Oryzias latipes: one gene and its partners. The protein of the gene in region 5 interacts with the protein of the main gene of each other region in a pairwise test. Links are inferred from orthologs where the notes say so. Each region holds a gene or a part of one and is shown on either strand. Other genes may lie near its edges.

What was found.
Region 1: the proteins of sgta (region 5) and ptn interact in a two-hybrid assay, tested with the Homo sapiens proteins (2 studies listed by BioGRID and IntAct). The link is inferred for Oryzias latipes from reciprocal best matches to the Homo sapiens genes SGTA and PTN.
Region 2: the proteins of sgta (region 5) and syt4 interact in binary tests that used the Homo sapiens proteins (3 or more experiments, as listed by UniProt). The two-hybrid records come from large-scale screens. The link is inferred for Oryzias latipes from reciprocal best matches to the Homo sapiens genes SGTA and SYT4.
Region 3: the proteins of sgta (region 5) and pre-B-cell leukemia transcription factor-interacting protein 1 interact in binary tests that used the Homo sapiens proteins (3 or more experiments, as listed by UniProt). The two-hybrid records come from large-scale screens. The link is inferred for Oryzias latipes from reciprocal best matches to the Homo sapiens genes SGTA and PBXIP1.
Region 4: the proteins of sgta (region 5) and tmem174 interact in binary tests that used the Homo sapiens proteins (3 or more experiments, as listed by UniProt). The two-hybrid records come from large-scale screens. The link is inferred for Oryzias latipes from reciprocal best matches to the Homo sapiens genes SGTA and TMEM174.
Region 6: the proteins of sgta (region 5) and HRAS-like suppressor 3 interact in binary tests that used the Homo sapiens proteins (3 or more experiments, as listed by UniProt). The two-hybrid records come from large-scale screens. The link is inferred for Oryzias latipes from reciprocal best matches to the Homo sapiens genes SGTA and PLAAT4.
Region 7: the proteins of sgta (region 5) and nme3 interact in binary tests that used the Homo sapiens proteins (3 or more experiments, as listed by UniProt). The two-hybrid records come from large-scale screens. The link is inferred for Oryzias latipes from reciprocal best matches to the Homo sapiens genes SGTA and NME3.

The regions. Positions count from the first base shown.
Region 1 is NC_019881.2:18,741,538-18,745,320, reverse strand, and holds part of ptn (pleiotrophin), read left to right. Parts: intron 1-461; coding exon 462-635; intron 636-3,783.
Region 2 is NC_019876.2:7,931,041-7,935,565, reverse strand, and holds the start of syt4 (synaptotagmin-4), read left to right. Parts: upstream 1-1,605; 5' UTR 1,606-1,840; coding exon 1,841-1,874; intron 1,875-2,337; exon of another isoform or gene 2,338-3,410; intron 3,411-3,430; coding exon 3,431-4,047; intron 4,048-4,139; coding exon 4,140-4,463; intron 4,464-4,525. UniProt on the Homo sapiens protein: Synaptotagmin family member which does not bind Ca(2+). Involved in neuronal dense core vesicles (DCVs) mobility through its interaction with KIF1A.
Region 3 is NC_019869.2:888,218-892,000, forward strand, and holds part of pre-B-cell leukemia transcription factor-interacting protein 1, read right to left. Parts: intron 2,296-3,783; exon of another isoform or gene 1,432-2,295; intron 1,312-1,431; exon of another isoform or gene 972-1,311; coding exon 884-971; intron 805-883; coding exon 737-804; intron 292-736; coding exon 1-291. UniProt on the Homo sapiens protein: Regulator of pre-B-cell leukemia transcription factors (BPXs) function. Inhibits the binding of PBX1-HOX complex to DNA and blocks the transcriptional activity of E2A-PBX1.
Region 4 is NC_019870.2:5,378,699-5,383,068, forward strand, and holds the start of tmem174 (transmembrane protein 174), read left to right. Parts: upstream 1-1,374; 5' UTR 1,375-1,666; coding exon 1,667-2,244; intron 2,245-4,370. UniProt on the Homo sapiens protein: Regulator of plasma phosphate homeostasis. Decreases serum inorganic phosphate (Pi) uptake by regulating the sodium-phosphate cotransporter SLC34A1 trafficking by PTH and FGF23 in the kidney.
Region 5 is NC_019862.2:5,200,670-5,204,752, reverse strand, and holds the start of sgta (small glutamine-rich tetratricopeptide repeat-containing protein alpha), read right to left. Parts: upstream 2,801-4,083; 5' UTR 2,671-2,800; intron 2,430-2,670; exon of another isoform or gene 2,407-2,429; intron 508-2,406; 5' UTR 460-507; coding exon 360-459; intron 1-359. UniProt on the Homo sapiens protein: Co-chaperone that binds misfolded and hydrophobic patches-containing client proteins in the cytosol. Mediates their targeting to the endoplasmic reticulum but also regulates their sorting to the proteasome when targeting fails.
Region 6 is NC_019868.2:12,341,842-12,346,285, reverse strand, and holds the start of HRAS-like suppressor 3, read left to right. Parts: upstream 1-1,582; 5' UTR 1,583-1,696; intron 1,697-1,870; exon of another isoform or gene 1,871-2,043; intron 2,044-2,121; exon of another isoform or gene 2,122-2,140; intron 2,141-2,221; 5' UTR 2,222-2,286; intron 2,287-2,364; 5' UTR 2,365-2,397; coding exon 2,398-2,412; intron 2,413-2,988; coding exon 2,989-3,097; intron 3,098-3,262; coding exon 3,263-3,531; intron 3,532-4,444. UniProt on the Homo sapiens protein: Exhibits both phospholipase A1/2 and acyltransferase activities. Shows phospholipase A1 (PLA1) and A2 (PLA2), catalyzing the calcium-independent release of fatty acids from the sn-1 or sn-2 position of glycerophospholipids.
Region 7 is NC_019866.2:14,621,955-14,626,231, forward strand, and holds the start of nme3 (nucleoside diphosphate kinase 3), read right to left. Parts: upstream 2,968-4,277; 5' UTR 2,908-2,967; coding exon of another isoform or gene 2,862-2,907; intron 2,510-2,861; 5' UTR 2,470-2,509; coding exon 2,388-2,469; intron 2,230-2,387; coding exon 2,099-2,229; intron 1,179-2,098; coding exon 1,077-1,178; intron 870-1,076; coding exon 757-869; intron 500-756; coding exon 385-499; 3' UTR 1-384. Other genes in the region: mrps34 (28S ribosomal protein S34, mitochondrial), read right to left, coding at 4,151-4,277. UniProt on the Homo sapiens protein: Catalyzes the phosphorylation of ribonucleosides and deoxyribonucleoside diphosphates, other than ATP, into the corresponding triphosphates with ATP as the major phosphate donor.

The DNA of each region.
Region 1 (3,783 bases), on a different chromosome or scaffold from region 5:
GAGTTCACATGAACAACAAATAATGGGCTCAGTGCACAATCCGCTTTTGTATTTGGGGGGTGTTAATAGAAAGAAAAAGTCCACCCAACAGACCTGCATCTCAAATATTACCCCCTTACTTTACCCGTGCAATTTATGTGTTTGCTTCAACCGGTCACTTACATGCCAGTAGGGTAAAATGTTTAACATTATTTTGCTCTACCGCAAAGGCATTTGAGACCAAGCTTTTACTTCTATTAACTATCAAATCAATATTTGAAGGACATCTAACAACCTGTTTAAATGGAAAATGGATTATCAAATTAGACAAAAAGGGTTAAATACACCTAAAAATACCTTTTGACTGCAACAACAAAAAGGCTATCGTAAACTGTGAAGTGGAAACACAAAAATGACTCTTACCATGTTGTCTGGTGACGACATCTGGTGCTATTCTTTAACTGTCATTGTTGACCTTTTAGGAAAGAAGGAGCGCAAGTCAGAATGTGGGGACTGGCAGTGGAGCGTTTGCGTGGCCAATGAGGGTGACTGTGGACTTGGCACTAGAGAGGGAACGCGTACCGGCACCGACTGCAAGCAGACCATCAAGACCCAACGCTGCAAGATCCCGTGCAACTGGAAGAAAAAGTTCGGGGGTGAGAAAGGCCACCACACTGACCTTTGTGTGCCAACAAGAACCACATAAGAAAAATCTAAAAATGCTAACCTTTCAAAAGTATTTTAATCAGCTATTTTCCAAAAAGTCTCGGTTCCAAAGAGTCCTCGTGCTTATATGCACCAGTTATCTCGTCACACCTCCTCATGACCTATTGTTGAATGCCATCTGCGGAAACAATGGCACCAATTTTACAACGGGAATACATTAGCAGACTAGTAAGAGGTACAAAGAAAATATCTGCAGAGAATATGATACATTGTGATGGAAAACACAGAAATCCCCCTCCTGCATCGTCAGTGAAACAATTTTCACCTCGAGAGCACCAAATATGCATCTTTTTTTTGATAGTCTATGTTTTTTAGTACATTTCTTACCATACAGGAAATTAACGGCTAAATTATAAACCCTATACACGTTCAACACGATTTCTTTAGCTTTTTGGGCTGCAATATGTCAAACTCACATACTGTATGTGCAAGTTCCCGCAATGACAGGCTTTTGTTCCTACATCACAGCTTGTTAAGCAGGAGCCTCCTGCTTGCAATAAAACTGCCATAAATGATCTCTTTGAGGAGGTAATGCATCTGCTAACTAAACACATTTTTGCACCATTCTTGTACCAAAAGTTCTGAAATTGAAGCAACAAGTGAAATGCTTTTAGACTTTGGAGTGTGGAGGGGTCACGGAGATAAAAACAAAAAAAGGAGACGAATGAGCCCTTCTTGTGTTTAAAAGATCCAGACAGAGGAACATCTCCACTATCTGGGGAAATTACAACAGCGGCAACAATGTTGGAATGTGGAGCAATTTCAATCCCACACCTGCGAGTGTTTGCAAACTGCTTCCTCCACTGGAAGACTTTCATCACGGTAAAATGTTTCCACAAACAGACGGGCGTATTTACACTTTCCTGAAACACTCAAAGCAGTCTTTGTTGCGGCAACTGCTGCAGGTGTCTTCTCTAGGACCATATGTTCCTCCAAAACAACAAAAGATTTCCAGTGCAGCTTTGCCAAATGATAAAAGCGAGCACATTAGACGGATGTAAATAAAAACAGATGATACTAGCTCTGCAACTTTGGTTAGAAAGTGATTCATATCCGCCACGAAACAATGAATGCACAGTAAATGAAACAAAAACAAAAAAAAACAAGTAAAATTCAGTCTGGAATTCAATAAATAATTCATTTTTTCAGTTAACTTTTCATAAATTTCATACATGCAGTCTTAATTACCATCTTAATTCTGTTCAGGGTCACATGGTTGCTGAACCCTGAAAAGGTTGTTAGTCCTTTGTTGTGTAGCTTAAAGCTTTGCATGTTGAGTGCTTCTTTTTCCACTACAATATACGAGTTTATACTGATGTCGTTAATGACAAATATTAAGAAATCATCAATATAAGCTTCTTTAAGCATAGCAGAAATAATAGTAAACAACAAAAGTTGTTTCTTAAGTATTTATCTATGATGAGAGGTCTTCCTGTCTTTAAATAATGTTTTGTTCTCTCATCATCATCATCATCATCATCATCATAATCATCATCATCATCATCAGCCTGTCACGCCACTGCTGGCGGAAGGCCTCCACATCTTACTCCACTCATCACGGTTTTGGGCACTCTGGGTCCACGTGCTGCCTGCCATCTGCTCGATGTCATCTCTCCATCTTTTCTTTGGTCTTCCCCTTCCTCTCTTCCTGTCCCACGGAGTCCATTCTGTTGTTTTCTTAGCCCATTCGTGGTTCTTCATTCGGGCTACATGTCCTGCCCACTTGCCTTTGGCTTCAATCACTTTCTCGATGACATCCTTCACCCCTGTCCTTGATCTTAAGTCTTCGTTCCTGACCTTATCTCTCCTCGTAACACCCAGCATTGATCGTTCCATGCTCCTATGGGTGATTGCCAGTTTCTCTCTTTGGCAGTTGGTAAGTGACCATGTATCAGCTCCATATGTCATTGATGTCAGTATGACATTGTTCATGATCTTCCTCTTGAGACACATGGGCATTTTTTGATCTCTCAGAAACGTACTGTACCGTCCGAATCTCTTCCAAGCGGTTGTTACTCTCTCGTCTATTTCTTTCGCCATCTCATTTCCTGGTGTTAGCAGTCTTCCCAAATACTTACACTCATCCACCTCCTCCAGTTGTTCTCCATCTGCAATTATTCCTTTCCTTCTCCTCTTCCTTGCTATTTCATTGCACATGATTTTGGTTTTCTTTTTGTTCATGCCATCTTTTCTCCCTTCCTTGTTCAGATCGTTGAGCAGCTTGCTGAGATTTTGTTCTCTCATAAGTGCAAAAATCAAATTTTGCACCAATTTGTTTTCCAATATTAAAAAGATTGTAACTCAACTGAGTGTGACCAAATTGAAGTCTTGACAATACCCTCCACTCTTGCCTTTATGACTCTTATCCCATTTCCTCAACAAATTTTCATAATTAACTTGAACATGACAAAACAGGACTTCAGGGAACAAGAAAAAACAGGAAAAGCATATGACCCGAAAAGGAAAATCTGAAAAAACAGATACTTAAACACACGGAGGATCATTACCACAAATCAAGACAGCTGTAGACGATTGGCAATCTACATCTGGTGTGACTGACAGGCATAACCTGAAAACAGAACATGACAAGAACTAAGAAACTAAAACGGACAACCAAATGGTACAATCCAACTTTATACATTATACACAGTTTAGGAGTGGCTGTGACATTTTTATAGATACCAGCTCATGAAGGACTTGCAGGAAATGAATGAATGTGAATGTGAGACTAAATAAAGCAAAATTAAAAGGCTTATTCAAAGGCAAAGTAATATTCAACGCATTTTGAAAGGTAAACCAGGTCGAACTCGAATTTGGTAGTTATGTGTAGATGGCACGGAAAGGCCAACCGTTTGAAAATTAAACATGGAGGAGAAATGAATAATCGCGGTTTGTGCCAGGTTGGAATATTATGACAGTAAGTGAGTCAAATGTTGGAATAGAACTGTAAAAGAAAAAAGAAAAAGCCTGGTGCCAGATTCGCAGGATTTGCATTTCGTAAACATTTCGCACCACACCTCTTCTAACTTGTGTACATGCGCTGGTATCAGGTAGAGACAGTCAAGTGTGAACACCATG
Region 2 (4,525 bases), on a different chromosome or scaffold from region 5:
GCGACCGTGTCCCTTGGGTGCTGGCTTCCTGGGCCCGGCAGCCCTCTCTCCACGCAGGGGGAGGGATCCCTGAGTTCTCTGGCAAGACCAAGAGCCAGGGATCACATCACATCTGAGCCTGTGGGTGTCCGTGTCCCTGTGGTGTGGGTTCTGGTCCTGGCTCCTGGGGCGCGGGCCTTTTTCATATTTTCCAACTGCTGGTGAGCCTGGTCAGGCCATATTAAAACAGCCCTTGGGGACCCTCCTTCCTCTTGGGCGTCCTCCTCCTGGGGGGGGTCTCTGCCTTGCTCTCTCCTGGACTAACCGTGGCCTGGGGGCAGGGGGCTGCCTGGAGCGTGGGGGCGGGTCTCCAGCTATCATTTGTTTGCCCAGCTGTCAGACAGGACAAGTGAAAAAAAAAAAAAAAACAATAATGGATTTCACATAAATCACAGAGAGACTAAATGTGCGTTTATTAACATCACATGTACATCAGTTGATCCATCTCCTCACAGAACCCCATTTTTCCTGGGCGTCCAACAAAAAACACAACAAATAAAATCAATGTAATAATAAATAAAGTTTAGCCTAATTTAAAAAAGGTGTTTATACAAATATATACCTTAGTTAGAAAGAAAAAAAAAATCACGTTAATTACATTAACATGATTCCTTTTTTTCTTTTGAAACTCAGTTTAAAACATTCATGCCCTGCAAAATTTGGGCAAATATCTCCAAAGTTTTCTCATATTTTGAAATTCTGTTTTTGTGGGTTTCACGAACAGTAATTTAAATGAATAAATACTTCAAATCAATTAAATATTTTGACCTGAGTCTATATTCTATGAAAGTTTATTTCTTTCAATGGAATAGTGGAAAAGAGAACACTTTTCCATTACATCCAACTATTTTGGAAAGGGTATGTATTATAAGTCGTTTTTATTTATCACCACAGTCAGAAGTATATGCATGTGGCTTTTGTAATATATTATCTATTATTAACTTAATAATAAAAAAAAACGATTTAAGTTTTTAGTGTTTTAGTTTTTTAGTGTTTTATTTTTTAAACTTTCTAAATACTTTTTAGACTATTTCCCTGTACAATTTTACTCAGACACCAGAGGTCAGTGTTTCATAAATGTTAAATGTGGTCTTTCTTCCAGCTTCTTCTTTGTTGCAGTATTAGGTTGGAATTGGATGGTCTTCATAGGGTCAAAATTAAAAATGTTAATGAGAGCATTGCCTAAGAATCTTTCTGGTTAACATATTTAACCCACAGAAACACCTTCTGGGGCTAAATGGGTTAAGGGATCTAAATAGGTTGGATGTTTAATAAAATACAGTTTTTTCAAGCAATCTGTACGTATAATCTCTAACAGATAAGTGCTCACATTAACATAGACAGAAAACAAATATGTTCATTCCCTGACCGTCAATCAGTGAAATTGGCAGGTCTGTTGTGCTGCTTCACCAGGGCTTCTCAGCCAGCCTTCGTCACCGCTGCGTCAGCGCTGATGAGCTCAGCGTTTGTCAGGAGGGGATCGAGGAGGGGGAGGGGACAGAAGGGTGGATGGGAGAGAGACTGCAAAAACAAGCGGACAAAAAAGCTGGAGAGGGAGAGAAAGAGAGGATAGGGGTGTTGCCGCCTCTGAGACACTCATCACTGAGTAACAGCAGCAGAGTGGGAACACAGCTTCCTTCTCTTTGGATATCACAAGGCTTTAATTTTCTTGTTATTAAATTTTTATTTAAGAAAAAATATTCTGCTGTAATATTCAACACCCTTTAAGAAAGAAACAGCTGGAGATTCAGCTGAAGAGGAGAGCTCATTGTAGACCCTTTCAGGACCTTGGACAGCGATAATGGCTCCAATGATGGAGAGCGGAGCTGAGCCCGGTGAGTCCATCCAACACACTCACGCTTCATCCTTTGCATGATGTGATTTAATGCGAAGGGACACCACCTGGTGTGGATGGATGAGTAGGCTGGTGTTGGGTTCCTCATTACTCAGAGATGCTAGAAATGTGTTGTTGGAAAGAGTTTTTTTTTAATTCACCAAATTAAGAGGTTTTGCATTTAAGTTTTTATTTCATTTGTTCATTCACAGTCAATTATGCACAATATTTTCAGTTAAAAGTGTTTGATTTCCCTTACTCTAGTCAAAACCTCCTGCTATCTCCAGTTTGCAATGATCTTAGAGGTGTCAATTAATCAGCAGGACACTAATCCGTTGGGTGGAGGTTGGGCTACATTGCATAGAACATCAATAGTTGACAAAGTGGAGTTATAATTGTCTTCTGGGTTCAACAAAAGCAGACAGGCATCAATATAATTAAAAAAAAAGCCTGGAAATACCCACCGTTTCATGTCCTCACTCTTTAGCAGTTCCTTCACAGCCCCCCCGTAGCGTCAGCCATCTGTCGTTCCAGCCTTGAACACCATTCCACCCAGGGCACCAGCATGAAATATATATAAGCAGAAAGGAGGAAAACATTATGTAGAAGTGCTGTGATTTAAAAGTGATAGGAGTTCAACATTCCTCACATCGCCCTCTTACATAATAATGAGAAGCAATAAAAAAAGATTATCGCTGCATTTAAAGGGAAAACTGAGGCATAACATGCAAATGACATCTTCAATGGTACATTAGAAAATGGCACAGTATATAGCCTTAGTGTTGACATGGACGTCACAGATTGTGTGAGTTGAATGGGAAAAATAACACATTAGCTTTGATCACGTGAACGACATGAGTGATCGCTCACTGCCACTGCTTTTTGACATTTTGATGGGTTTGTAGACGTGGCTGATCGGTCCTCTTGATGGTCTGTTTCCTCTCTTAATTGAAACCCATTAGATCTGGCAGCAGGATTGTTGTTGAGTCAAAGTTCAGCACGATGAAAGAAAAAAAAAGGCATTCAACAGTGTTCATATAATGTTTCTATAAGCATACCACAATACGTTTAATAGTAGACAGTTAATCTCATAATGTCATTATGGAAATTTTCCACAATTAACGCCCAAAAATCTACATCTCCTCAACAAAATATCATATTCTTTTCATGATTAGATGGTATTCAGGTATTTAGACTACTAAATCAAGTGGTAACTGTCTACATTATCATACCTGTAAAATCCTTGATAAATTGGCTGCTTATGGCTTTATGCGGTTTTCCCAACAGCTCTTTACTAATACCAGCTGTTTCCTGTTTGGAAATGAATCCGGTAATTGGGCTGAACAGATCGCATTGTGTTTTACTCCTTCTGACTCAAGGCTGCAGCTTGCGTCAGCCTCAGATACAAAATGGATGAAGTTGCTTCAGTACAAGTGCAGAAGGAAATGTTTCAGTTGACGGGTGTAAACAGATGCCTACATGCCACAACGATTGTCAAGAGTTATCTACTTTTTCTAACAAACTGCTGTCCTTGTCCTTGTCTGCTCCCCTCCACAGTGGCAGTACCGGTGGGCGTTGCCGTAGTGAGTGTTTTTGGCCTCGTCTTCACTGTGTCAGCCTTCACTTGGATCTGCTGCCAGCGCAAAAACACCAAATCCCAAAAGACGCCCCCATACAAGTTTGTGCACATGCTCAAAGGGGTAGACATCTACCCGGAAAGCCTGAGTGGCAAGAAGAAGTTTGCCGCAGCTGCCACCACAACAGTCAATGACGCCGGTAAAACAGATGTCAACGGAAACTGCCACACCACGCCAATGAGTCCATCAAGCACCAGTAAACTTGCAACAAGCCCAAACGGTTCCAGGCCGGCTCTGCATTTGGACCTTGAGAAGCGGGATCTCAATGGCAATTTTACCACCAAACCTTTTCACCACCACCATCAGAAGGTGAGGTGCTCTCCAGATCTGGAGCTGCCCTCTCCACACGCAGGGTTTACCCAACCTGGTGCGATGGACCGCCATGACCTCCCTTCACCATTCAGCAACCTCTCCAGCCAGGCACCAACTCCAGGTGTGGAGAGAGCTCATGTGGAGGAGAAGGAGAATGGCCTGGGTACTCTCCACTTTTCCCTTGAATACCAACAAGAAAAGAAGGCATTCATTGTTCACATCAAGGTAATGTAAAGGGTCTAAACCTTTGGTATAATTGTTTTAGCTTGTATGCATTCTATTTAATCTCTGGTGGTTTATGCTACTTTCTTATACAGGAGGCCAATGGTCTATCTCCAACGGATGAACAGTCCCTCACCTCTGACCCCTATATCAAGCTAACTCTGCTCCCAGAAAAAAAGCACCGAGTGAAAACCAGAGTCCTTCGAAAGACCCTTGACCCCTCTTTCGACGAAACCTTCAGTTTCTACGGGATCTCTTTGTCCCGAGTGACGGAATTGTCCCTTCACTTCATGGTGCTGAGCTTTGACCGCTTCTCCCGTGACGAAGTCATCGGAGAGACCCTCGTTCCTTTGTCTGGGATCGACTTGTCAGAGGGACGCGTGCTAATGAGCCGAGAGATTATCAAGAGGAACATCAAGGTACGATCTCACACAAATGTTTCAGCCACTTTTGGTTTTCCGTAAGACAATTTATCTTCACA
Region 3 (3,783 bases), on a different chromosome or scaffold from region 5:
GGAGCATTCCGCTGTGGGCGGAGCCAAGGACAGCAGCTCAGTTTCCACTGAGGAAACTTCAACCTCTGGAACATCGAGGGGAGCGCTCAAATCAATGTTGGTGACAAAAGACACGCCCCCCAGGTGCTCGTTGTCACTGGGGGAGGTGGTTACGATGTCGTGAATGACCGGAGGCTGACTCTCCAAGTCCAGGTCGGGGGGGTCAAGGGGGGTGCTAGGGCGAGGGCTCATGCGGGCGGGACTAGACGGGATGGGACCCTCGCTGGACTCGGGGGAGGTCTCTTGACACACCTGGTGACGGCAGACAGATTACCTGAGTTAATGTACCGGAGTTACTGATTCAGGTGAAGTTCAGGTGTTTTGACTCCGCCCACTCTGAGTGAACAGCCTTTTCTTCCTCGTCTGCTGACAAACAATTCTGGATTCTTTGGAGAAAACAACCCTGAATTGTTAAAATACATTTTATGATGATGTGTTTGCAGAACTGGGTTCCACTTAGAGCTTTTCCTATCCGTCATGTCTAGTCTATCGTGTGATTGGCTGAACATTTGAAGTGGGTGTGGCTAACGTCTTTCCCTCAGCAGCTCAGAAAGCGTCCGGGCCGTAGACGTTCCTCTGGAGTTCCGTCTGTCCTTGAACGCTACAGGAATGAATGTCCCGGTTGGGGATGAGAGATCTCTGTTCTTGTTCTCACAGCCCTGCAGGGCCAGAGCAGACGTCTGACCGAACCACCTACCTGATGGCCTTCTTCAGAAAGCACCGTTTCCACGGCGATGTCAGCCGGCTTGAACTCAGCCGCCGCTCCTACAGGAAGATGGGGGATCAGAGTGGGATCTGGACGGTCAGTGCGGGCTCCACAATCAGCCTGTGTGTGGATAAATACCTGCTACTTCCTCAGAGAGACTGGGGGCGTCGCCCAGGCTCTCCGTGCCGTCGTCCACGGGCCCCACACTCTCAATGGCGGCGGCCTCCTGCGTAAAGACATCAACAGACGGTTTGGAAACGGCGATACAAGCAGACACGGATGTACAAAAGTCCCAACTGCTTTGGTTTGATCCTTTTCAGTTCATCTCAAAACTCCACATTTAATAGAAAAAGTTTCCTAAAGGCAATATTGTATTTTCCGCTTTTATTTTGAAAAACCAACTTTTTACCTTCAGGTTTTTATTGTGTTTCGTGTTTTGATTCACTTATGCTTTATGTGATGCTTTTCATGTTTTTTTACGATGGGGACGCCGCCATCTCTGAACCGGATGTAACCAGTGATTGGTCCAAGTCGACGTTTCTATGGCAACCACTCTTTCCAATCAGGTCAGTTTATAATTTGAACAGCAGAAAAATGATCATGAAACAAAAATTAGGATTATCAAGAAAAAAAAGTCTCAGATCCAGAATGGTTCTTCTGACTGACAGCGGTTTATTTCTCTATAGACGTCTGTGGCATTTTGGCTTCTTGGAGCCACTTCCTGTTTGGAACGCCAAGAGGGAGGAGTCTCTCAGTCCAGTTCTCATTTACAGTCAATAGCAGTGATGACGTTCTCCCATTTCCTTCATTCTACGTTGATCCTGGTTTGACCCTGTAACTTTGGCGAAAACTACCACCAGTACACGCGTGTGGAAGCTACATCTACATGTGACAGCAGACACGCCGTTTGGAAAAGAAAGCAGTAGGGTTAACCCTAACACTGACCCTTAAAGGACACATCTATCCACTTCAAAAAACCAAAAGTGTGTTAGGAAACAAACGGAAGACAGTCGTCCAGGAAGTTAAAACTGGTCTGCCAGCAATCCAGAGCAGCGCCGCACAGCAGAGACGTGACCTCAGAAGGCGACGGCGGCGGGAATGACATCCGGAATCAAAGAGGAATGCAGGGAATTGGACAGCCGTGGTCCTTCTGGCGTGCCAAACGTGCACAGTGTGACGTGACACGTTAGCAGACACACCTCTGAGGTTTTTCACAATAAGATGTTTGGTGTCAGAATGACCCGTTGTGATTTTGAGATTCCATCGGCTTCCCTTGTCCTACGGGTCAAAACAGAACCACTCCACCACAGCCCCCAAAATGAAGCAACTTCATTGAATTTTAAAATGTAAAATCTATTGTTGAAACAACATGTTACTTTTTTTTATCATATTTTCTGTTACTCAACACAAAATCCCTTTTAAGCTTATTTCTGATTTAATTAAACTGAAAACTGGAAAAAAAAGTTCTCAATCTGGAATTTCCTTCCGTTTTCATATTCTTCATGAAGTGAATTATAAAAACCCTTTAATCATCCCGCAAAACAACAAAATGCTGCTTAGACTCTGTGTGTTTGTTTGTGTGAGTGTGTGTATCTGGATTAGAGTGTGTGTGTGTTTGTGTGGCCTTTTAACTCATTTCTTGTGTTCAAATGTTTTTCTAGTTCATGGGTCATAATGACCCAAAGGATGATTTCTGTAGCCTCGTGGCGTTTCGTCTCCATGGAAACATGAACTCTTTTTATGTTTTCTTTAGGAAAAGTCGTAAAATGTTTATTTTTCTAATTGTCCCTCAATCATCCTGACAGTAATTAACAGTCCAGAGAATTATATAGGACTTTATTTTAAATAGGGTTTCATTTTATAATCACAGACTCAAGGATATAAAATAATCTGTGACATAAAATGAAGGTTGAAGTTTTTCAGTGTGTAAATTCACAGGTTTGGGTTTACATGCAGCGATGGTTCAAATCGTGTTTTAAGAGCATTTTTAAAGGTCTTTCAAGGTTTTTATTTTTTGTTTTTTTGTTGAAAGGTCTTTCAAAATGCTTCTTCTAAAGCAGTGTTTTTCAACCTTTTTTCAGCCACGGCACACTTTAACCTTGACAAAAATCCCGCGGCACACCAGCATCCAAAAAAATAGATAAATAAAAAATAAAGAAAAGGCTCAGTCTTTATTGATCTACCGCCGCTCTGCAATCTCACATGCATTTTTGTGATAATTGTTGCAGAAAACGCTGGAAGCTGCAGCTGTTTTTTCTAAAAGATGTATTAAAAATTCAGTCAAAAGATTCAAAAACTGTTTGATGTGTGTTCGTTGTTTTAAGACGTTGAGAGGAGAGACTCATTGTGCGCTAAGACAGTCACTTTACTGCATCATGGGAGATGTAGTACCCGTAATCCGCCGACCGCAGAAAGACCAGCGTCTTTGAGCTTCATGGTTTTGTTCACTTGTTCAAGTCTGATACCAGATTCTGTGGAAAGCTACACCGCTAAAGACGAGCTTTAGCTGGTATTTTTGTTAGAACAGAGAGACTTTTTTGCGCTAAATCGAAACAAGGAAGTGAATACTCAAACCACTTCTGATTGGTCAGACTGATGACATGTGATTAAGCCTTCAAGAATGATTGGTGGAGACAGTTAAAGGGGCGGGACTTTTCCTTACACAGTTATAGCTGCAGCTAAATCGCGGTATCCCGTTATTCTTATCAAAATGTCTTTAATAGAATCATATAAACACAAAGAAAAAATAATTTTATGATATTTCATATTCTTAACTTCTCAGTGTTTTATCAGGACCTGTTTGGATGAACAAAGAGCTGATTTCCTGGAGATGGTAATTGTTTTTAGATCAGTTAATGAGGGCAATTTCTCACGGCACACCTGACCATCTCCCACGGCACACTAGTGTGCCGCGGCACACTGGTTGAAAAACACTGTTCTAAAGTACTGCCATGGGATTCGCGGCAAGATGGCGATGGGAGCAAACGTCCGGTAAGCGTTCTGCGCAACATAACCTTGAAAATGTTACTTTAGGACGG
Region 4 (4,370 bases), on a different chromosome or scaffold from region 5:
GATGATTGCAGAGCTGAAGCGAAATGAAGCATAAGCCCTGGGGATCAATTTGCCTCGCAGTAAGTCAACAGGAGGCAATCATACGCAGAACTTTTCCTTCTTTCGGAGAGGAAATGTCCTTCTCATAAATATTTGGAGTTTTCTAATTGGAAGAATATGTGTGGCTTTAAACACTACCTTTTAAGGATTCTACACATCTTCCCACTGGCGCAGTGAAATGAGGATGTGCTTTCATGCACAGATTTGAAGAATATGTTTGCATTCACAGTGAAAGTCTGAGGAACATGGATGTTGTTTTAAGATGTACAGTAAAAGCCTGCATGGATCTAAGCCTACTGTTGTGTTGTAAGAACTAAAACTTGAATGATAAAGGCATAAAACAAATAGTAAATGAACAAAATTGAAGAGTAACAAAAGATGGATGAATCAAAAAAAATTTCATAAAAAATTGCTTTAATTATACATTCAAGTATAAATGCAAGAAGTTTGGCTTGTGGATTGCATAAAAGATGAAGTCTTAAAGATCTTCTTGGATGCGTTAATCGTAACGTTGGGACAGTGGCAGTGGAGCGATGGAAAAATAAAGCTTTGAAGATCTAAATCCTGTTTTTAATGAATTTATTGTATTTTTGCCAAACGTCTTACTATACTGCTGAATATTTCCATAAAAATGGTTTAAAGGTCAGATACCTGGTTTGGTGTTTTCTGAGTTTAGGTTAATTTCCCCCGTAGACACAAATCCTCTAGATAATTATCTGCGATGTCACACGCAGAATTCTGGAAAAATGTAGCCTGAAATGGGGCAGCCACATTGACCTGTGTTTACTCAACCCACCTCAGTGACACACCAAAAATGGGTGACTGAGTGGGCCAAAGTGATGGTATATGTTTTTTGTGAGTCCCCCTATCTGTCAGTTCAGCAAAGACATTAAAAACTACCTCTGACTTCGCATCATTTTTAGCTTTAAAACATCTTCTTAAACTCAAGAGTACCTAGCTGCAGACAAGATGGCGGCTGGAGCTCCACTCCTTGATGGAAACAGAAGTTGGTGATCTCCAAACAAAAGATGAGCTTCGTTTTATTTTATCTTGTTTTCATTTTAAATTTTTTTGGCTCTCTATTTTAGGTGACGTTGGAAAAGCAAACTGCGATGCAAATTAAAACTCAATAAGCTCATGTAATTGTGACTAGGTGCATGGAGTGGAGCTCCAACCGCCATCTTGTCTGCAGCTGGGTGCATCTCCTCAAACCAGTGTACCTGGTGTACCTGCAGGATTTCCAAATATTCAAGCCCTACTCATGACTGATTACCTGGTTCAGGTGTGTCCAGCCAGTTAGAACATGCCAGAGCAGAGTATGTTGGAAATCATGCAGAAATGCGACCCTCGAGGCCCGGGGTTGCTCATCCCTGGCATAGAGGTATGATTTCATTTGGATTTGGCACATGTCACAGTCTGACGTCAGGTAAAGGGATTAATATGTGCTGCAGAAATGTATCAGATATATCTTCAAAAATCCTATTATTTCCATAAAGTTAATGAATTCCAAGGCCATTCTGTTTTTCAAAGGGTTGACGTGTTAACTTGTAACTTCCTTACTTGTCCAGTAACAATCTTGAGGTTACTCAGTGTTGTTTTTGCTCAGAGCATTTATTCATGAACTAACATGGCCGGACAAAGACCTGCGATGGAGACCGGCGTTCTTTCTCTTTCCCAGAGGCAGGCAGACAGGCTGGAGCAGGAAAAAACCGGAGCTGCGCTCCTGTTTTCTGGAGTCTTCCTGTCCATGGTGGGGGTCACCTTCACTGTGATAGGTTGGCATCACTTCCGAACCAGCACCAGCTTTCAGTGGACCCAACTCCTGGGTCCCATCCTGATTTCAGTTGGAGGAACCTTCACGGTCACCAGCATTTGCAAATTTAGGTTAATCTCCTGTTGGTACTGCAAAGAGCAAGAGGAGGAGGTCTTTGTTGTTCCTATAAGGGAACCACCGTCAGGGAGACCTACCGTTGTGGTCCACGGCATCAATCAGCCGGTTATGGTGCAGGGCACCGCAACAATGGTGTGTATTCCACCAGTGTACAACTTCCTAACCCAGGAAGTCATTGAGGAGAATGAGGAGCAGCCTGGTAGCTCTGTGGGAGGCGTCCATGCGAGCCTCCCTTCATATGAGGATGTGTACTGTTTGGACAACGCAGCTTTTACCGCAGAAGGCGACGCAGAAGTGGGGTACAGAGGGAGTCGGTAAGAACTCGTCCAAAAACAAAACAAACAAAAAAAAAATGTGGTCAGCTGCTGCATGTATAATTGCTTCTCAGAGGTGCAGTTGCTGTTTTTTTTCTGTTTTCTTAGTCGATTAATTTAGAAAATAAGTTACTTTTGCTAGTAAAGGGACAACACGGATCCTTAAACCTGCCTTTCCTATGCTTTATCCTCACTGGAGTAATGGGATTTATTTGTATTTATAGATTGAATTTTAAACATATTTTAGCTTTGCTGAAAAGATTTTTCAGCAGATCAAGAATAATTGTGGGATTTTTGGCTTCCTGGAGCCAGTGGATACTGCCAGTTTGGAACGCATGGGGGGAGGGATCCCTTTGTCCAGTTCTTATATACACTTAATAGTCACATACCACTGTTCTTGTGACAATCCACTGTTCACAGTTTGCCATTAGAAATGACACACAAGTCTAAGTTCACTCTACCTCTTCTGCCATCTTTTCAGAGTCCCGTATTTTCCAAATAAAATGCCAGTTGCCATCTCTGTCTCACTTTTGTAAAACCAGATCTGCTGAAAACGGAAATGAGCAGAAGTTGAATGGATTTGAACTATAAAAAATCTAGACTTGTCTGGACTTTGGTCCATGATGCACTTCAGACCAGTTTTTTAAAGTTACAAATTCAAAGCAATTTAAAGTTTTGCAGCAACTGTTAGTGAAATCAGTCAATTATCAAGCCAGGATTGATGTTTGTTTTAAAATAAAGGTACAGAAGTTAAAGCAAGGAACAAGTACTGCAAAGATGCCTTTGTTTCATCCAATCACAGCGAGTTTGCAGGACCTTTTTCTAAAGTCACCTGGAAAATATTTCATTTTCTTAATTTACAGTTAAGATTTTCACCTGAAATATTGAATTTGACCAATCCTAATTACATGAAGAACAGCAGCCCTATACACTCACCTGCCACTTTGTTAGGCACACCTGTCCAACTGTTAAAACAAATTTCTAACCAGCCAATCACATAGCAGCAACTCAATGCATTTCGGCATATAGACATGGTCAAGATGATTTGCTGCAGTTCAAACTGAGCATCATAATGTGAAGAAAAGGTGATTGAAGTGACTTTGAACATGGCATGCTTGTTGTTGGTCTACTGAGATTTTTACCCACAACCATAAGGTTTACAGAGAATGGTCAGAAAAAGAGAAAAAAAATCCAGTGTGTGGCAGTTCTGTGGGCCGAAATGCCGCGTTGATGTCAGAGGTCAGAGAAGAAAATCCAGACTGGTTCCAGCTGATAGAAAGGCAACAGGAACTCAAAGAACCACTGGTTACAACGGAGGTCTGCAGAAGTGCACATGTCCAACCGCGAGGCAGATTGGCTACAAGAGCAGAAGAAAACACTGGGTGCCACTCCTGTTAGCTAAGAGCAGGAAACGAAGGCTACAATTCACACAGGATCACCAATACTGGACAATAGAAGATGGGAAAAACGTTGTTGGGTCTGATGGGTCTTCATTTCTGCTGCAACATTCAGATGGTAGGGTCAGAACAACATGGAAGGAATAGATCTATCCTGCCTTGTATCAACGCTTCAGGTTTATGGTGGGGGTATAAATGTGGGGGGATGTTTTCTTGGCACACTTTGTGCCCCTTAGTACCAATTGAGCATGGTTACAGCGCCACAACTTACATGAGTATCGTTGCTGACCATGTCCATCCTTTTGTGACCACATAGTACCATCTTCTGACGGCTACTTCCAGCAGAATGAGGATCCATGTCATAAAGCTGGAATCTGAGACTGGTTTCATGAATTTGACAATGAGTTCACTGGACTCAAATGGCCTCTACAGTCACCAGATCTCAACCCAATAGATCACCTTTGGGGTGTGGTGGAATGGCAGATTGACATCACGGATGTGCAGCCGGCAAATCTGCAGCAACTGCGTGATGCTGTCATGTCAATGTGTACCAAACTCTCTGAGGAATGTTTCCAGAACCTTGGTGAATCTATACCACCAAGGCTTTTGAAGGCAAAAGGGGTTCAACCCATTACCAATAGATTGGCCGGTGACTGTAGAAAGGCCTTAGCTGAAAATGTTGCAAGAATCCTCCAATCGATTGTTCACTAAAGGATCTGTCACAAAGGA
Region 5 (4,083 bases):
TTGATTTGAGTCGTCTTGTTTCATTGCATTTTATTTTGTCTTCTTCTGTTCCTAAAAACATCTCGTTTGGGTGAAACAGCCCCGTCAATAATCTGTTTCAATCTGTGCAGTTTATTTCTAAATAAAGTGATTTTTTAGTTTTGTTTTTCAGTGTTTGTGTGTTTTTTCACAATGAGACGGTCTAATGCTGGCTTCTCCTTTCTCATAAGATCGTCTGGTGTTTTAGGACAGTTACGGCACTGCGTCCCTTTGGACCCATCCAATGACGGCTCAGAGCTGCTCGCTCCGGTCCGTCACCATTCAAACTGCAGCGTAAAACCCTGAGATCCTGGCTGGTGTGGCAGAGCTGCAGGAATCACCTTCCAAACTCTCCTGAGCGTCCGAGGACAAACCGCCGGACTGCAGCTGATCGTGGAGGAACTGGATGATGGAGTAGGCGAGACGCTTGTTGTCTGTCATGGTGGTGGAGGCTCAGACGTCCCAGCGCTCGATGAGGGAGACGCACTCCTGCAACAGAGGAGATCAGCAACAGCCAGTCAGTCACCTGACACCACCCGCCTGATTTACTACACCTGTTGTGCCGAAAGACTTGGTTTCACGCATGAGAGATGTGACTTCTGCTGGGCAAACTTCCAGCTCAGAATATGCACTGATATCATTTTTTTAAAGAGGTGACAGAAAGTATGTTTGAGCTAAACTGGGCACAAATCCTCTCTTTTTGCTGACAGTTAGTTGACTGTAAAGGAAAACTGGACTGAGAGACCCCCTCCCCCCTGGCATCCCAAACAGGAAGTACCCACTGGTTCCAAAGAAGACTATTACAGAGAATTAAACAGCTGTTAGTCATTCTATTTGTCAGAATAACCATGTTCTTGATAATCCTACTTTTCCCCCCCATTACATTTTTTTCTGTAATGAAAGTTGAAACCAATCAGATGCTTCCGTAAAGGTATGTGGTCTCACGTCCAACGTTCAAAATGGGGGAGTAACGATTTATTTTAACAATGATTTGAATCATATCATGTATTTGTGGTTGATATTGGTTGATTTTGAACGATCTGATTCACTGATCTAAAATGGATTCAGAACATCTTTATCCAAACTTCCAGCAGTGAGACTCAGACAGAAATTCCTGCTACTGAACAGTGAAGTTTTCCAGATTCTTGGATTTCTTCAAGATCATTAAGTGTAAATGAAATCTGTGTCCAAACAAACCAGTAAACTAGAATGAATGTTAAATCCATTCACATTTGAGTTTCCTAAAGTTCAGCCCACTGTTGTTTTTCCACATCCAAATGATCCAAAGGGAACATTCTTAGAACATTCTAGAACACTGGATGGTCACATGACTTTATAAATTCAAAAGTTTTCACACATTGGACTGGAATGATGGACAGATCCGTTTTGGCTGACATCACATGTGTGTTGTCCACTGATGCCCTTGTTCATTTTCATTATACAGTCAAATAAACCTACCATGTCTCAATCTCAATGGCATTTTCCATTTTCAATTCGATTGATCTGATTTTGAAAGGATTTAATATTGGTTTAGGTCAGTTTGATTCGATTAACAGCTTGCCTCAGAAAGATCCACCTGGTTGAATCTTAGGAACATAAATCATTGATTAATTGTTACACCCCTAGTTTATAGTAATTAAAAATAAGCTGCGAAATTAACAAACTTGTCACACGTTGGAAATGTTATTTACTCTTTAAATATTAGGAAACTACAAATTACGTTTATATTCAAAATGTTCCTAGATTTGAAATAGTTTTTATTTTTAACACCTTGCTTAAGTAGAGCCAATCGTAAACTTCCAGCGTTCAGCTTTTTGGCTTTAAACCTTGTATTTCTTCAATTTAGCTTATTTTTTGTTAAGCACTTATTTACCCCCCCCCCCCCCCCCTGCAAAAAAGCAACAAAACCCCCAAAGCTTTTGTTGTTATTCAATAAAGTATCACTTTTCGATTGCTTGGTACGTTTAATAACTTTTGGGTCTTTACTGGAGCTAACTTACTTAGCATATTCTTTGGTTTAAACCAGCAGCTTTCGCCGTAATTTTCAGGTATTTACATTTATGTTTAACGTTTGGGGTTACAGACTGGACCGAGTATGGAATCATATGAAAACAAAACATTGCGGAGTCACACTCTGAATGTTAGCTTTCCTTTAGCCACAGCAGGAGAACATTCTAGCAGCTCAGTTCTGGTATCTTTTAACTCGGTTCTGATTTGTAAAGCAGTTCGGTGTTAATGGTCCAGACAGCCAACAGATTTACTCAGATCAATGAGTGAACCTTGTTTGTGTTCAAATAAGTTTGATGTAAACTCGATCGAGCTTTTATTTAGCTTGGCTAATTTTTAGCCTGCTAACACATCCGAGCTTTAGATCTAAACGGGCCGCACCGTTCTGACCGTAAACCAAAGCGATGAACCGCGTTAGTGTGACATGGTCCGGAATCAAAACCGGGTCTTCGTTTAGTATAGTTTGCTCTAGGAGCGGACCGGGGTTGCGCATGAAGTCACTGAAGCTTGGTGTCTGTGGCGTGACGTGTTCTCATCCTGAAGATCGCGGAGACAGAAGACTGACTTTAGGATCCCAGTTTATCCACAACTGCATGAATCCGCCCTGATGGTGAATCTGGGGTGAAAACACGAGGAAGCGCCTACCTGCTGTGTCTGGACTTCAGATGGAGATTATCCAGGTAAGAATCTAGATTGACCTAAGAGTTACTTCTTCTTCCTTCTTCTTCTTGAAGAGCTTTAGCCAGTAGGCAGGGGGACTTTCTGACGTCTAACTGCCACCTTCTGGATTGGAGTGTCAACAACAGCGACCATGCTAATAAGGCCCTATGAAAAAATACAGGACAAGTCCATCTTGAGAACCCGCAAACCCCACACAGAAAGGTCCAAGTTGGGAATCGAACCAGGGATGACTCACATTATACACTTATTTGTACAGTGGGGCGAAAAGTATTTAGTTACCTACCGATTGACCTCATTGACCTCCTGCCTAGGGTATCCTGATGCCACGTGTATTGATGGACACCCTTGTGCTCAAACATGGTGTTCGTAATGGACAAACTATGACGAGCACAGTAGTCCAACAACAAAACAACCCCTCTCGAACGACTGAATTTCAGAGCCCAGGGTATGTGTGGAGGTGAGCCCGACTATATCTAGCCGGTACCTCTCAACCTCTTGCACAAGCTGAGGCTCCTTCCATCCCAGAGAGGTGATGTTCCATGTCCCAAAAGCCAAGTTCCATGACCGGGGTTTGGGCCGCCGAGGCACCCGCCTTTGACTGCCACCCAAACCACATTGTGTTCCACGTGTGTTCTCCTACAGGTGGTGGGCCCATGGGAGGGTGGTCCCACGTCACTCCTTTGGGCAGGGCCCGACCGGAGCCTGTCTCCAGAGTGGGGCCCTGGTGACACCAATCCAAGCAACGTAACTGATTCCTTGTTTTTTCTTCTCAAAAGAGGATTCTAAACCGTTCTTTGTCTGACTCGTCACCCAGGACTTGTCTGCCAAGGGAGACCCTACCAGGGGCTTAAGCCCCTGGGAGCTTCGCTCCTGGGATCACTCGGGCTCTAACTGCCCCACCACGTTAAGGTGGCGGTTCACGGAGGAGAGTTGTTTTTGATTAATAAACATTAATATCTTCCTATCTGTGGCCCATAAGATTTTGAAGTAATAGGGCAAAAGTTTTTTCTTGTTTTTTACCCCAATTCTTTTTTAATACCCCGACCCCCCGTCCCCTTTTTTAAATTTTACTTTGAAAAAAAGTTAAAATACTTTAACATCAATACCCTCTTGTCAGGTGTGGGAACTGAAGCACTCAGGAAACCCACACAACCCATCAAAAATGAGACTGTAGCTGACTTTCACATTAGTGTGTTATCTCTCTTTTTTTGACCAGGTTTTGAAGTAAGAGGAAGTAAAATTAAAAGCACTTTGTTACGTTTTCTTTTAAAATTTTTAATGTATTATTTTTACTTTTGTCAAACAATAAAATAAAACACAATAATACAGCCTCTAACATTGTAAGTAAATCCCAAATGAAATATTGCTAAAAAATAG
Region 6 (4,444 bases), on a different chromosome or scaffold from region 5:
CAAATGCATTCATTTGGATTGCATGTCTGTTCATTCCATAATAAACTACCAGAAATAACGTGTTTTGTCTGAAATATAATCAATCAGATAGATTCTAAAAGTGAGATTTAATACTGACAAGAGTGTTTTGTGGGTGGTTGAGCATGACATGGAATGGAATCAAACAGACATGAAGAAACTCCAAGTAAAATCCCATCTGGTCCTGTCAACTCTTTCTAAAGTTGCTTCATTTAAGGTGACGCTAAACTTTCACTGGATTATTGTTGGTAATAATGTTCACTAACATCACAGCATGTTTGAAGAAAAATGACTGAGAATATTAGAGATATTGACATTATACTGTAATTCATCCTCCCTCATAGTCATAGTATAACATTTGAACCATCCAAAATACTCCTTTATCAAAAGGTGACACAAAACTTTCACTGGATTATGGTTAATAATGATGTTCATGATCATCCCAGCAAGTTTGAAGAAAAATGACTGGAGAATATTAGAGAAATTAAAGTTATAGTTCTCCTAAGCATCCAGCCTTTGTGGTTAAAGTAAAACATTTGAACCATCCAAAATACTCCTTTATCAAAAGGTGATGCAAAATTTTCACTGGATTATGGTTAGTACTGATGTTCGCGATCATCTTAGCAAGTTTGAAGAAATTTGACTGAAGAAAATTGCAGATATTGACATTATAGTACACCTATAAGCGGCCTGCCTTTAGTTAAATTATTACGGATTACCTATTCAAAATGCACATTTATCAAAAGGTGACGCAAAACTTTCACTTGATTAATGTTAGTAATGTTGTTCATGATCATCACAGCAATGTTGAAGAGGAATGACTGTAGAAAAATACAGATATTGACATTATAGACCAATTCTGGTCTCCTCATTCACAGTCGGAGTATAACATGTTTATAAACCTCAATATAAGGTAAATACACGGTTAGAGTATGTTTTTGCAGTCATTTTTCTTCAAACCTGCTGTGATGATCAAGAACATCATTAACAACCATAATCCAGTGAAAGTTTTGCGTCACCTTTTGATAAAGTGGTATTTTGGATGGTTCAAATGTTATACTATGACTATGTATGAGGGAGGATGAATTAGACTACAATGTCAATATCTCTAATATTCTCCAGTCATTTTTCATCAGCCTTGCTGTCATGTTAGTGAACGTCATTATCAACAATAATACAATGAAAATTTTGCGTCACCTCAATTGAAGCAACTTTAGAAAGAGTTGACAGGACCAGATGTGATTTTACTTGGAGTTTCTTCATTTCTGTTTGATTCCATTCCATGTCATGCTCAACCACCCACAAAACACTCTTGTCAGTGTTGAATCTCACTTTTAGAATCTGTCTGATTGATTATATTTAAGACATAACACATTATTTCTGGTAGTTTATTATGGAATGAACAGACATGCAATCCAAATGAATGCATTTGTACATTGAATAACGATACAGGGCATGCATTAATTTCAGAGTACAGTACATGTCATTTCTATAAATGGTTACTGTGACATGGGTGATATCAGCGCTTTATGCCGTCTTTCCAGCTCGCTGGACGTGTGTACCGTAAACTATGATGTAAACGCGCATGCTGGCGTGACCGCACTTCCACAGATGTCGGCTCACTTGACCGCGGTATTAGAGGAGTCTGACTTTCGATTTCCATTTTTGCTATAAATAGGTAAGCCAGCTAAGTATCAAGTGTTATTACTGGACTTTTGGCATTCTAATGTATTTATTTTCATTAAAGTAGACTGTTCCATCTTTTTATAATCCATAAATAAAATGCACTTGTGGACTGACCCATTTCGGTCGCTTTAACCGTAAAGTATTTGATCCGTTCCGTCCCCGTGCGGACTTGGTACAGACCGTGGTGGTTGTTGTTGTTGCAATCAGCTGATCGCTCACAGCTGAGCTTTGCTCTCCATGTCAGTCGGGAGCGGCGGCTCTTCTAAACTAAAGAAAGGTCTTCTGGACGGTGATTTTCGGGTAAGGACCGCTGCAGAGCCTCGGAAGCTGGGAAAGAGGGTGAATTTCTGAGCCTCAAAGCATTTTGTGAAACGGCGTCGAGTCTGTCGACACAGAGCATCACAGCCTGCTAGCTAGTTCCTCCGCGTCGTCATTGGTGATGTGGCTGTTCCAATGAAGTTATACCCCCCGAATATATGAAAAATATATGCGTTTCCTGTTTGTTTGTTTTTCTTAGAAATTTTCAGCTTTTCCTCGGCTGCATAACAGTGCTTGATTGAAACGCTTTCAAAGGCTAAAAAGGTAAACGACAGCATCAAATAAATGAAAGAAAATGGCAAAGATGTGCTTAAAAACAATGTTTCGTGATTCTTTGATCAGAACAGGAAACCAGTCCAAACATCAGAGTGGGCCATGGCTCCAACACTGGTAAGCAAGTTGATTCTACTTTCTTCTTCAGAGAAATTGTTTGCCTGGTTTGAAACTGTATTTTTAATTCAATACATTGATTTTATGATTTTCCTTAAAAAAGTTATTTGTTTTAATTTTTCCTCATATAAAGACAGTAATTAAAGAGGAAATGCATAATTCTATGAAGTAAAGATTCCCATTTGTAAAGTCTAAATAGGCTGTGTAATCATCTAATTTAAAAAAATAATAATCCAAGGAAACCAAATTAGAATTTACATTTTAGGCCTTTTTCTTTCTCTCTACGGAAAATAACAAGCTGTCAGGAGGGTCTGTGTTTTGCTGTTTTAGAGGAAGTTTGTTGCAGTTTTTTCAGTTCTACATTTAATCAAACTTGTCGTGAACCTTTTTACAAAATTAAAGCATAAATTTAACTCGTACAAAGCATCATTAAAACACTCAAATTGTAAGCATACAGTGAGGAAATAAGTTCTCACAGACTGCCAGGGAGTTGAATCGGGTGAAAGTTTTTCAGAGTGTTGAAAGTGTTATGTTGTCATTATGAAACACATTTTTCTGTCCTGCTCTTAATCCCAGTACGATGTGAAACCCGAGCCGGGAGACTTGATTGAGATCGACCGTGGCTCTTATCAACACTGGGCTGTGTACGTTGGCGATGGCTTCGTTGTTCACATGGCGCCGCCCTGTGAGTGTCCAAACAGGATTCACGGAGCTTATGTCCCAAATATCAATCTGGAACAAAGAGTGTTCGATGAAACAAACTGAATTTAAATAGTTTTGAATATCAAGTTGTGCATGAAAGGCTATGAGAGAATAGCATTTTTCTTCTTCTTTTGTGATTGTGTATTAGTTGAGACTCCAGGTGCTCGTTCCAACAGCATCATGTCTGTCCTAACGGAGAAGGCTATGGTGAAGAAAGAGGAGCTCTGGGAGGTTGTGGGAACAGATCAGTGGAAGATCAGCAACAGTCTGGATGAAGAGTACGAGCCCCGGCCGGCTCCAGTTATTGTGGCAGATGCCTGCTTGCTGGTGGGCCAGGAGCGACCATACTGTGTCTTCACGGGGAACTGTGAGCATTTCGTCAATGAGCTGCGCTACGGAAAAGCTGAGTCCCGACAGGTTGGTGGAAACACTCGAACTTTTCTAATACAAACCTCTTTTTTAAAACCATTAGCGATAGAGAAAGAGTGGTGAGTTTAAAGACCCACTTCAATGAAAATTGTGTTTTTTGTTTTGTTTTTTGTTGTTTGTAACCAACGCCAATGGCTGCACGGTGGCGCAGTGGTTAGCGCTCCTGCCTCACAGCAAGAAGGCCCCCGGTTCAAGCCCTGGCTGGGGGGACCTGAAACAGAACATCAATGGGGGGCCTTTCTGTGTGGCGTTTACATGTTCTGTGTGGATTTTCTCTGGGGTCTCCGGCTTCCTCCCACCGTCCAAAAATATCCTTCATAGGTTAATTGGAAACTCTAAATTGTACATAGGTGTGAATGGGTGTGTGATTGAGGACATTCTACCCTGCGACAGACTGGCGAACTGTCCAGGGTGTCCCCTGCCTTCGCCCACAAGTGGCCGGGATAGGCTCCAGCAGCCCCGTGACCCAGAAAGGGATAAAACGGCAGAAGATGAATGTTGATTTTTGAAATGTTCTTGTGGCAATTTCCAGCTATTAAAAAAATTCACTTTACGCCGTGGTGCAGCGGCAGGGCGGTCGACCTCTGATCATAAATTGCAGGTTTGATTCCCACCTTGACCGCTCATGTGTCAATGTTTCCTTGGGAAAGACACTGAACCCCACCTTGCCTCTGGTGGAAGGTTGGCACCAGTGATTGGCAGCAGAGCTGCCACCAGCGTGTAAATGTGTTTGAATGGGTTTGGGACTGTAAAGCGCTTTGGGCTTTCAGAGAAGGTAGAAAAGCCATTTTTGTTGAAGTGCAAGCTAAATTAAAGTAGTTTTTGAGCCAAAGTGGTTTGATGCATTTTTGCATCCGTAACCAAAAAGGGGTTAAACAAAAACTTGCATCAGACACAAATT
Region 7 (4,277 bases), on a different chromosome or scaffold from region 5:
AAAAAGGCATTTATCATGTTGGATATGCTTAAAGGGAGACTTTAAAGGTTTCTAAGAGTCATTGTTCAGTCTATAAATCAATAGTACTGCTGCCAAACCACTGAATTGGATTTATTTGACAAATTTCTATTCTAAAAACAAATTTGTTTAAAAAATTTTTTTAGCAAATGTAGTAATTTAAACTTAGAAAAGGCTAAATTTTTTTGATTGATTTTACTTTGAACCTAACTCTATTAAATAGTGTAGTGCAGAAAGGCAGAATTAGGCTTTCTACTACTGTTTAGCTACAAAAAGCACTAAAGTCAAATTTATCTGAGGTGTGATCACCACTTCAACGATATTGCTCTTATTTAAAGCCAGGGAATGGTTTCTACACAGCGTGTGTCAGTAGATCCACTGGCTGCTGCTGCTCTTCCAGCGGTGAAGTTCCTTCGGACCGAACCACAGAGAGATTTCCCTCTGTGCGCTCTCCACCGAGTCACTGCCGTGGATTACGTTCCTGTGACACAGACCCAGCAGAGACATTCAGGAGGTAAAACTTCACTTTGTCAAAAAAAAAAAAAGTAAAATAATGTAAACAACATTTCAAAACATTCATACAAAAAGGTGATATTGTCAAAATGGTTGCAATCATTTATATTTCTTTGGGGATAGTGCTATTTTAGTTGGAAAACAAGCCCATTTCTGGTCAAATTAACAAACAAGTGCCTTTCTTTTCTAAAGGTTTAATCCCAGATTGAGTGGAATAGCTCTTACTTGCCCACTTCCACACAGAAATCTCCTCGTATGGTTCCTGGCAGTGACTCAGCAGGGTTGGTCTCTCCCAACATCTTGCGTGCAGTCTTGACCACCTCCAAGCCCTGCCAGACCTAAACAAACACAGAAATGTACACGACTATATGATACTTTGGTTTTTAATACAGTGATTGCACGCTAAAATACTAATAAACATTCAAAACACACCATCAATTTTGACTGAAAAGAGTGTATTTGTGTTGCAGGAGGATTTTTTTCCTTATATATTACAGATGTCCTTTAGGATCATTTGGCTGTAAGTAACGGACTGGACATCTCACCATTGCAACAACTGGTCCTGAGCTCATGTAGCTTATTAGTCTGTTGTAGAAGGGCTTAGTCCTCAGATCCCAGTAGTGTTCCCTAAGAATGTCCTCTGATGCCTGAATGCAAACCATAATAACATCTGATTAGTTTATAAAATTATAGAGCGCTGGACATGACATTAAAAAACAATAATTCAATAATTTAAACAATTTTGTGTACACAATTTGGTATTTCGTGCATATAACTTTGTATTTTATGGGCTTAAATTAGTATTATGTGTGCACAAATTAGCATTTTGTGGACAGAAATTAGTAATTGTCTGCACAAATTAGCATTTTTTGGGTACAAATGAATCATTTTGGGGCAAAAATTAGAATTATTTGTGCTCAAATTAATCATTTGATGGCACATATTAGCATTTTGTGGATAGAAAATGGCCCTGCGACAGACTGCCGATCTGTCCAGGATGTCCCCTGCCTTCACCCAAAAGTGGTCGGGATAGGCTCCGGCAGCCCGTGACCCCGAAAGGGACAAAACGGATTAGAAAATAAATGAATGTATGAAAGAATAGAAAATAGTAATTGTTGGGCACAAATTAGCATTGTGTGCACATATTAGTATTTTGTGGGGATAAATTAAGATTTTGATGGTACAAATTAGCATTATGTGTACCCAAATAGCATGTTTAGGGCACACATTAATATTTTGTTAGCACAAATTAGCATTTTATGGAGACAAAGTAGTATATGGGGAGACAAATTAACATTATGTGTGCAAAAATTAACTTTATTGAGGGCTCAAATGAGCATTTTGTTGGCACAAATTAACATTTTTGTGTGTACAAATTAATACTTTAGTATACTTTCTACTCCTAATTTTGTGGCCATAAAAAATTTAACAGTGGCCACAAATTACTAAGAGGGAAAGTTGTTTTAAGATCATGATCAGGGCTCCATATCATATGACAGGTCTTTTACTTGGATTTAAAAAAAAAAGGTCATCGTCATCGTGTATCTGAATGTATCATCAGACTCACCCGCACAAGTTTGAGGCCCACCAGCTTAAATCCTTTCTTCTCAAAGCGACGCACGATCTCCCCCACCAGCTTCCGCTGCACGCCGTCCGGTTTCACGGCGATGAAGGTGCGCTCATTCACTCCGGTCCAACCTGGAACACAACTTTAAACTATCAGCAACTCAGATTAAGCCTCAGGTTGTAGACACGAAAGATAAGCACGGCAGCAAAAAAATAGATAAAAAGTGCTGGCGGCAGCCTTCGGATCTGGAAGCGGCTCTCTGTCTCTCTCTCTCTCTGGCGCGCCTCACCGAATTCATCGATCTTTGCGTGTTTCTGCGCCAACCTCTCCACCTCCTGCAGGTCGAGCTGTGACCTCTTTTTCGGCCTCATTGCGGTGCTCCACTTGCAGCAGCTTTTCCACACTACCAGGCTGCACACAATGGCAGCACGGTAATACACGAGCTAATAGGATAATGAATCAACTTTTGCAGGAGGAGGAGGAGGAGCGGGGGTTACTGTCACAGAAGCTAACCTGCACGCGCCAACTCTGTTACTGTTATGGAAAAAGTTAGTCGTTTTTAATAACAGTTCAAATTCAACACTCTTATTATTGTCATGTTTAGTATATAGAAGTCCCATAAACACCATTTTACAGATTTATCCGACTGCGTGGAGTTTGCCGAAGAGCCGTCTCCCAGCATCCTCTAAAAATAGACGTCATTCCATCCGTTTGACTCAAAGCGACTGAATGTGGACCACACGGAAAGTCAAATATTACCAACCTGACTGAAAAATGTAGGATATGATGGTCAGAAACAGGCAAATCATCGTCACTGGAAGACAGAGCACAACTTATCCGTCTGAATGAAAGCACGCAGGTGCGAGGAGGAACGTTGCTAAGTAACGGAGTAACGCCGCCAAGGTGAGAGCACGTGGCGCCGCAAAGATGTATGGAACCACAAATGTGCACAAAAAGAAGAGTCTGTAGTTAATTTATATAAGTTAATTACATTTTATCATATATATTTAGAATTTAAACATGTTTGATCACAGAAAATTCATTAATAACAAATATTAATGTATTATTAGAATAAGATAATTTATTTAAAATGATTCTTCAATAATGTTGTTTATATTAGATAGTAATAGGAAAAAAGGATCATGGTGCACAAAAGTTATGATAGAAAATGCCATGTTTGTTTTGACTTTCTTGCATTTTTAATTTAGGTAAATTTGCTGCTGCAGTAGGATCCCTTTTGTCAAAGGGTGTATTTTATTTTGAAGGGAAGTAAAATTATGGAAAATTACAATAATTTCATTATTGTAAATATTTAAAAGGTACACAATATAAGTAAGTATAGTGTTTAAGTGGCATAATGGTCACAAAAACAAAGTGTTTTTTTCTAAACAAAGATTGGTTAGTAGGAAACTGTAATATTAGAAATGACCAGAAGAGGGCACTAGTTGGTAGAACATGAAGGTAATGATGTGGGGAGAGCACAAAGAAGAGTTGATGATTCACTGGAATGTATGTTGAAGAGCAACTGAGGAATAAAACCAAACAGATTGAACCTACAGAGTGTCCCGAATTATATTTTATGTCTGTAAGATAAGTACAGACATGACAGAAACTGGACCAAATAGCTGTTTTACCATTAAAGAGTTGCAAACCATTGTTCTTTCAGGAAAAAGAAGACACATCACAACACATTACTTAATTAACACTCAAGCAAACATATCAAATTATTAAACCATCTACCTTTAATCTGAATATTAAGACGTTGTCTATTTTGGCAAGTTTTCTTTAAAAGCCCAAATACGGACTCACAACAACTTTGTTATTACGGTCCTTAAAATTTTTACTTTTATTTTTTTGTGTATCTTTCCATTTTTGTTTATAAAAGATACCTTATTACAAAACAATTTATTCCCATTTTTTTATTTAGCAAATCAGTCAAATTCAAACACACATACACTCACTATGGCATTACACTCTTGTCCAGGATGGAGCCTAATCTTAAAGCAGCTCAGAAAGAGTTGTGGCCCCCTGAGATTGAAACATCAGTAGCCTTTACACAGCTGTCCCCTCTTTGCTCCGCCTTTCTTTTTCCTGTCTGCGAAAATAGTCTTTGTTGAGCACCACGTCTCTCTGCAGAGGCAGTGCCGGCTCATCTAGGACTGTGCTGCCTCCTGTTTTA